Linked DNA regions of Schizosaccharomyces pombe. The protein of the gene in region 2 binds, or shares a complex with, the protein of the main gene of each other region. Each region holds a gene or a part of one and is shown on either strand. Other genes may lie near its edges. The genes, in order: acp2 and acp1.

Evidence for each region.
Region 1: acp1 (region 2) and acp2 share a complex: the UniProt entries of both Schizosaccharomyces pombe proteins name them as parts of the F-actin capping complex.

What each region holds. Positions count from the first base shown.
Region 1 is NC_003424.3:2,103,530-2,107,497, reverse strand, and holds acp2 (F-actin-capping protein beta subunit acp2), read left to right. Parts: upstream 1-2,064; 5' UTR 2,065-2,248; coding exon 2,249-2,254; exon of another isoform or gene 2,255-2,451; coding exon 2,452-2,848; intron 2,849-2,897; coding exon 2,898-3,301; 3' UTR 3,302-3,468; downstream 3,469-3,968. Other genes in the region: protein Atg14, read right to left, coding at 3,544-3,968. UniProt on the Schizosaccharomyces pombe protein: F-actin-capping proteins bind in a Ca(2+)-independent manner to the fast growing ends of actin filaments (barbed end) thereby blocking the exchange of subunits at these ends.
Region 2 is NC_003424.3:4,583,004-4,587,099, reverse strand, and holds acp1 (F-actin-capping protein alpha subunit), read right to left. Parts: upstream 1,886-4,096; 5' UTR 1,846-1,885; coding exon 1,776-1,845; intron 1,730-1,775; coding exon 1,536-1,729; intron 1,472-1,535; coding exon 965-1,471; 3' UTR 564-964; downstream 1-563. Other genes in the region: til1 (tRNA(Ile)-lysidine synthetase family protein), read left to right, coding at 1-516; succinate dehydrogenase subunit Emi5, read left to right, coding at 2,075-2,367, 2,424-2,550; peptidase Icp55, read right to left, coding at 2,767-2,937, 2,982-3,089, 3,139-3,360, 3,404-3,481, 3,543-3,926, 3,966-4,093. UniProt on the Schizosaccharomyces pombe protein: F-actin-capping proteins bind in a Ca(2+)-independent manner to the fast growing ends of actin filaments (barbed end) thereby blocking the exchange of subunits at these ends.

The DNA.
Region 1 (3,968 bases), 2.5 Mb from region 2:
ACAATTCTAACAAACTTCGACAAACCATATCAAAATCCTAAATCACCAGCAAAAAATCCAAATTAAGAGTTGGACTGCCCTCACTGCCTCACCCACTTCACCTGTCATAAACACAAACAAAACTACTTACAAAACAAAATTGCCACGTTGACGTATAAGCTACAGCAATCAACACAGCAACACTGAATATCAAATTGCTAATAGTACACAAAAACAAGAATGAACAAAATTAATGCCGGCTAACCTTCACAACACACGCGCGCATAAACTGCCTATTACACTAAAACAAGCAATATGCAATATTTACTTCGTTGTATAGCGCCAAACAATAACAGATAGCACAAATGACTTAAGATTTATAGCGACTTGGCTTCAAAGGGACAAAAAAGTAGTGCCCTATAACAAATTAACGATTAATAACGATATCGAACTCTTCCGCGCGACTAGCAATTTCAAGAGTCGAACCGAGGAAAAATGTGGTTTGCAGAGGGAAGGAGGAAACATGTTGGTATAAGTCACCGTTGTCCTCAGGGTTAGGGTTTTGATGTGAATCAACATTGCGGCGGATGAACGATTAGATGATAATTTCAATGGAGGGCGACTGACCAATTATCTTTCTCCTACGTCACCACTGGCTAAAGCTATCAGGCGCAACGCAAATCGCGGGGTGTTATTGTAAACAAACAAAACCAAAAAATTCGGCCAAACTATGTGTTCTGCAAGTAAACAACTTAATAATAATACAATTAAAAGATAAATGATCAACAATAATTGCAGGTTAACTTCTTACAAAATTTCGATAAAAGTTTCAAACCCACAAAGCACATTTTCTGTTTTAAGTGTTTGTAATCACACACTCACTGCTACAACAACAGTAATTACAGCCTTTGTCAAGACAATAAACAGATAGAAATACGGAAAAGTGCAATTATCCAATGTAATCCTCCAATGTACTGACAAAAAGGTTCAATCCAGTTTAAGCAAGGTTAGAAATGTTTGTTTACACAATTGGTTTCAGCCGTGCGCTAGTAGTCTTAGTATGGCCAAACATACGAAAAAAGTTAGAATGCAAGATTCGAACTCGGGATTTCAAGAACTCCGAACGGGACAAAGAATCTTATGGAACGGAATGGAATCATTTCTCGGTCATTTGAGAAACCGTCCTACAATCTGATTGGTTAAAAGGACCACACCATGAAAAAACCCATGTGATTTTTGCGAATCAGAAATCGGTGAGAGATGGGAGTTGAACGCTTGTACATAATTACGTGACAGTGGCAAAATCTAGGCTCTCCCAAAATTTTTGATCACAGTTAATGTTCCGCAAATTTTTAGAACGTTGAGTCGCGCTATTCCATTTGAAAACCGTTTAACAAAACAAATTAAATGTTCTTTATTTCTAAGGAACGCAGTTTGAAGATATACGAACACTAAATTCGTAAGTTGTCATACTGCATAACGACAGTAAAACGTTATTAAAGGTTGAGTGGATGCTAAAACAGAAGGTGAGATGTAGATAAAGATCAAAAAGCAGTTAAACAATGCATTTGTTAAGGTTATAAACATAAGAATAGATTTTAAAAGATCCATAGTTTAAATAAAATGAAAGACCATTGCTTAAAATGAAAGAAGGACGTTTGTTATTGACTTTTTTATGACTTTACATGGTTTGACTCGTAGAAAATCCAAACTTTAGATAGAAAGCGATTCAAGCATTGACTTTGGCATATAATTCTCCTTGTTTCTGTATTAAGGAATTTAACCGATATACAGAAAAGTTTTGTATTCGTTGCCAATACTAAATTTAACTTGAAAATGTTCAATATTGAAAAATAGACAGCTTATTGAAGTGACCAACAGTAGCATCTAATAAATTCTTGACTTTTTCCGCTTGAACAAAATGTGCTCTTCTTTTGATTATTTTTAACAGCTCATTGATATTACCAGTTTGATTATAAAGTAAGTTTGAGGTTGGTTTTTGCTACGTTGTCATCACCAGAGGGTTCATCGTTCAATGTTCACCGCCATATGTTGTTCACTTTCTAAACTTACGCAGAAAGCACCAGAGTACAAGTACCTCACCACCAGTCAGTCACCTCTACTATTTGTGTACTGCACCGTGAAGAATCTTCGTAATTTATGCGACGAATCTAAAGTTACTTCCTATAATCATTAAGGCCTCACTTTTATTCTGAGATCGCTATCCGGTTGTATTCTTTTGTTTAAAGCATTATATCATCAACTCACCATGAATGTAAGTATTACTGAAATTAATTACCTTGCCCAATTTTTTTGTTATATTTTTATTATATAGCCATCTGTAAATTCATCTTATCATTGAATGCATATTTCATCGATTTTCGTCAGTATTGCTCAGAGACTTTATGAATTTGCTTTTCACATTCTTTGTCGTTATCCTTCTTTACAATATCAGCTAACTTATTCTTTTAGTCTGAAGACGCTGCATTAGATTTACTCCGACGATTAAACCCAAAAGATATCTCTAAAAACCTAGACACAATTCTTTCCGTCGCTCCCGATTTAGCTGATGTCCTTCTCTCGTCTGTTGATCAGCCTCTAAAAGTAAATACTTGTTCTGAGTCAGGTAATCAATATTTGTTATGTGACTTTAACAGGGATGGAGATTCGTACCGCTCACCATGGAGCAATAAATATGATCCTCCTTTGGAGGATGGTTTAGTTTCTACTGATCGAGTTCGTAAATTAGAAGTTTCTTTGAATGAAGCAATCCGTGTCTATCTTGATCTTTATTACGAGGGCGGTGTTAGTAGCGTTTATCTTTGGGACCAAGACGATAGTTACGCAGGCGCCGTTCTCATAAAAAAGGGTATTTTTATTTTCTGTCAATTTCATTATATAATTCTAACTTCATTTAGCTTCTACTTCTAACTCAAGCGGATGGGATTCTATTCACGTGTTTGAATGTCTGCCTACCACGGAAACCAACGTTTATGATTACCGACTTACAAGTACTATTATCCTTTTCCTTTCATCTGGCTCGGAGGAACAGTCTGCCTTGCCTTCCAAAGCTCTTAACCTTTCAGGTCATTTGACTCGCCAAACTTCTCAACGATTACCAGCGGCAGATGATGACACTGAGATCGCTAATGTTGGCAAATTGGTTGAGGAAATGGAAACTCGGATGCGCAACTTCCTCCAGGATGTCTACTTTGGAAAAACTAAAGATATCATCAACCAGACTCGTTCCATTCAACCCGTTTCCGATGCCCAACCAAATGATTCGGCTTTGCGTTCAGTTTTAAACGATCTTTCCATTTAGGATTGCTTTTTGTTTTCTTTCCGTGATCTTCTCATAGTATTCGTTCCATCTTCAACGAAAATAGTCATAGAAAGATTGACTAATATAAATAAATACACCGATAATCTAATTTTTTTACAACAGTTTTAAAAGAAATTATTGAATTTAATTGTTCAGTAAAAAAGTTTATATAAATAGCATTAAAAAATATACGTTAAGAGACTTTATAAGAAAGCTGTTAATCGAAGATCATGTAAAAAAGGTCATGAAATAAGCTGATATGGTTTAGACGAGGAACGTGATCGAAGAGAGGAGTAATTTATTGGAATTGGAAGACGCGCCAGGTATAATCGGTGAAAAAGGTCAAAATCCATACCCATCTTGTAATGCCAATCTGGCTTTTGAGAAGTTAGCGGCTTGGTACGTAGCTGAACTAACCAGAAACCAGTATACTGCATTAACTCAAAAAGCTGGGATTGGGTAATTCCACGGGGAAACGAAAAAATGCCACAGTTCCATGAAATCCAAACTATGTTATACATTATATACAACATTTGTTCCGATGAAAATGAAGTCATGGGTTTTTGATCAGGCGAAGGGAGTTGAAGCGGGCATGGTAAGGGAATACTGGTATACTGAGCTAAAAATATACAAATAAAGGATAAAGTTAAAGCACAATCAGGATTTA
Region 2 (4,096 bases):
AAGGAAGAATTGCTCTTAAGGTGTCTAACATTGACTACAAGTTGCAGACAGATTAAACGATCTTCTGTTGTAAGCCTTTGTAATTCAGTTTTTGATGGAAAAAAGCTAACAATTGCTAAATGTCTACTCACTTCCTCTTCTATAAAGGACGACACTAAATTACAACTCCAAATTTCCAGACAACCATTTAGTAAAGCTGAATTGAAAAAAAAAACTATAACCATAAATCCTGATCGTTATGTTTTATGGGATCACAGGTTTTGGATAAAGTACAGTTGCAAAAATACACAGACTACACTTATACTTAGACCGTTGCTTTCCAAAGATCTAAATTCATTGAAGGGATTTTTGAGTAAGGAAGAGTTTCTTAAATTTTGTATACAAGTTCCGGGCCATATCAGGTTTACTATTCCAGTCTTGTCGGAAGAAAACGATAAGTTAGTTGGAATACCTACTTTTGGGTTTAATTTTAGAAGTGATATTATCTCAAACTGTCTACACAAGTTCAAGCTTTAATTGCTGCTTGAACCATGAAATCAATGTTAATTAGAGATACAAGATTTGTGATTTAATAATGCCTCATTATTTATTTATATTATCACAAAGTCAGAGGTGAAAGTCAGATGCTCAGAGCATATTCTGGTGATAAATAGCACGACTGATGCTTACACACAAAAAGTAATACGCCCTTAAATTACTGGTGACGAGCGGTAAAAAAATGATGAAGAACTTGTATTATTGATCGTAAAAAAATAATTTCCTAAAACTTATAAGAGTTTAAGAAAAGAGCGTGTGAGTTGCTCTTGTAAAGTTTTAGAAAGTAAACGACTAGTAATTATTAGTCGTATATCGAGCGACAATGTATATGTATTTAGGAAGAAGGAAAAGGAAACAGCTTGAATCACCGTCTTAAAAAATATCGTCGCAAAAAAATTTCCAAAATTTATAAACACATATAAGTGTTTCAAGTATTTCTCATACGGATGCCACTAACGTTTTCCCAATTAATTTTCTGGCGAGTGACTGGAAGTTGACGACGCAATTCTTTAAACTTTTTGTCATTAAGTGAAGAAAGTTCAACGTTGAAGGACTGTTGAATTCCATTTTCGACTTGAGCCAACACTTCATAAAGCTTACTGGTCTCCTCGACTGTAGCAGAAATAGGACGGGATGCATCCAACCAAACATTTCCGTCTTCATAGTAATGAACACGAATATGCGACCTGCCTTCCAGTTTCTTTTCCGAAACGTTGTAATTGCATATACAGCGCCACGAACCGTTCCAATAGTTCTTGGGATTATACTTTGAAGAAACCAAAACAATTGTAAACGATTCCACTTCATCGCTTTTTTTGATGATTCCAAATGTTACATCAGATAGATAGTGATCCGAAGCAACCTTTTTAATTTGCTTTACTATTTCATCGGGAATTTTTATGGCTTCGGTATAATCTTCAACGTTTTCAGCTTCCTATGAATACTGTTAGCTATTTAACAATTATCACAAAAAAAAGATTTGAAAAATTTAACCTTACCATAGTTTCATAATTAATGGTAAATGATTTCTGTAAAACTTGATCATAATAGCGATTGCCCTCTAGACGATTATCAGCTGAAATAATTACTTTTTCGTCATCCGATATGCTGACAGAAGAGTTGTAGTCTTCATGATAAAGCTTCAGTTGTTCGTGAATTGCTTCCTCATCACTTAGACCGATGTCGCGTATATCTATTATATGCATTAGAATGTTGAGGTATTCAGCACTTTAACAAACCATGAACTACTTGATTAACTTCTCCTGGAGGAGATTCTCTAATGAGTTTGTAAATTGCCTCCTTTTCCATCTTTCGAAATTTCTATAATGTGGTGCGGACAATGGTGAATGGTAAGAAACGAATACGGATGGTGAAGACAATGCCGCAAAACTATCACCAAAGAGTTGTATAGTCTACCAAATCTTCCAAAAAAAGGAGCTATAACCTAATTTTTTTTTCTTTTTATTCATATATAAGTAAATATAGCCTCGGAGGTCGTCTGGTTAATCGCTTAGTTGTTCATTTGAAAATATCAACAATGTTAAGGAAGACAAACTTATCTAATATCACGACGCTTCTAAGAAGTGCAAGATGTATGAATAGAATGCCTCAACTTCGCTTCGAGCATACCAAAGGTGATTTAAAAAGGGTGAATCGCTCTTACGAGACTAGAGACGCAATGTTGGCAAGACTTAAATATCAATCTAGAAAACGGGGAATATTGGAAACGGATTTGCTTTTATCTAATTTCGCCAAAGATCAGATTGATAAATATCCAGTATCTCTTCTGCGAGAGTATGATCAATTATTAGATGAGCCCGATTGGGATATGTAAGTAAATGAACTTGATATACTTAATGTGCGCTATTTTAACGTCCAATTTTTAGTCTATACTGGTGTTCAGGAGAAAGGGAAGCACCTGAAAAGTGGAAATCGAGTCAAGTCTTCAAGGAATTGAGCAAATACTGTCGAAGTCAGAGGAATCATACACTTCGAATGCCAGAACTATTTTGAAAACGTTTCTTGTTTCTCTAAACTAATGTTTATTTTTGACGTTGACTTTTCAATAAAATATTAAAAAAAAATTCGTGTAATGATTAAAATTTAACAGTATATATAGATTTTTTTCCCTTCAATCTTACTTCTAAGAAACTTAGTCCAAAAATAATGTCTTTTATTCTACGATAGTCAGATGTAGTCCTAATTCTTAGTCAATAGGTAACACAATCTCTACTTTTTCAAAGCTTCAATTTCTTCAATTTCTTTTGGAGCAGCACTAGTTAATACGAACGGCTTGTCATCACCAACGATTACGCTATCTTCAATTCGAATAGCTATTCCTTGAGCCCATTGAGGCCATCCGTCTTCTTCTGGAACATATAGTCCGGGTTCTATGGTAATCTAAACCCCGTTTAGCAAATAATCTGAAAAGAACTTCAACTTACAACTTGGTTTTTGCGCAACGGTTGGTAACCATTATTCGTAGAACAATCGTGAATCTCTAGTCCAATCTCATGCCCAATTGAATGCGGATACAATATATCTGTAATCTCCTATAGCCAAGGAAGTTAGTACGAATATTTTGCGAAGTAGCAAACTTACCCGTTTAGTTCCATGAATGCCGACCTGCTTCAATTCTTCATGCATTAATTTAACACTTTCAAAGTGAATATCAGCCAAGCTCCAGCCATTACTGGTGCAACAATACTTAATACATTTCTTTTGCACATTCAGAACTGCTTGATATAAATCCCTTTGTACAGTACTAAATTTGCCGTTGATGGGCCAAGTCCTCGAGATATCTGTTACATAACCACCGAATTCCTGTTAAGCAAGTGTTAATTGACAAAAAATTGAAGGCACTTACACCGCCAGCGTCTACCAAAACCATTTCGTCAGGACGGAATATATCATTATTAATTGTGTAATGGATAGTCAAGCCATTCTTCTTTGTTAATAAAGCTTAAAGTAATAGCATTCAGCATTTTCAGGAATTGATTACTTACTTTTCCACCTGCTACTACAGGCACATATGCGGATCTATCACAGCCTCCAATACAAAACCGATAATTGAATTCCGCGGACATTTCAGCTTCTTTCTCAAATCTTTTCCGCATAATTTCCCTGTAAACATTTGAACTTATATTGGCTGCTTCTTTCATGCACTCCAATTCAGCCGTACTTTTAATGCTCCTAAGCGGATGAAGAAGTTCATCTACCGACCTTTGGGTTGAGGTTCTAAAGAGTTTAGTAAGCGTATCTTGTATGAATTCAGGAGCGGATGCAGCTGGCATTTTTGAGAGGTATCCGGTTTGGTAATTATAAAAAATCCTATTCGACTTTTTTCCTAGAGCGTTTATAACCGAGGAAGCTAGACTAGAATCATAAACCTAATAATTAATACCTTAATAACAATATGTTCGGCTTACATTTTCTATTTGAAATAATTTTTTCCCAAGTGTTGAACCTGTTCGAAGTCCTTCCCATTTCTCTATGTATGGATTCTTCGATGGGAGATAAAGAGAACAGTCATAACTTCCACTTGCTCCATTTTTAACTT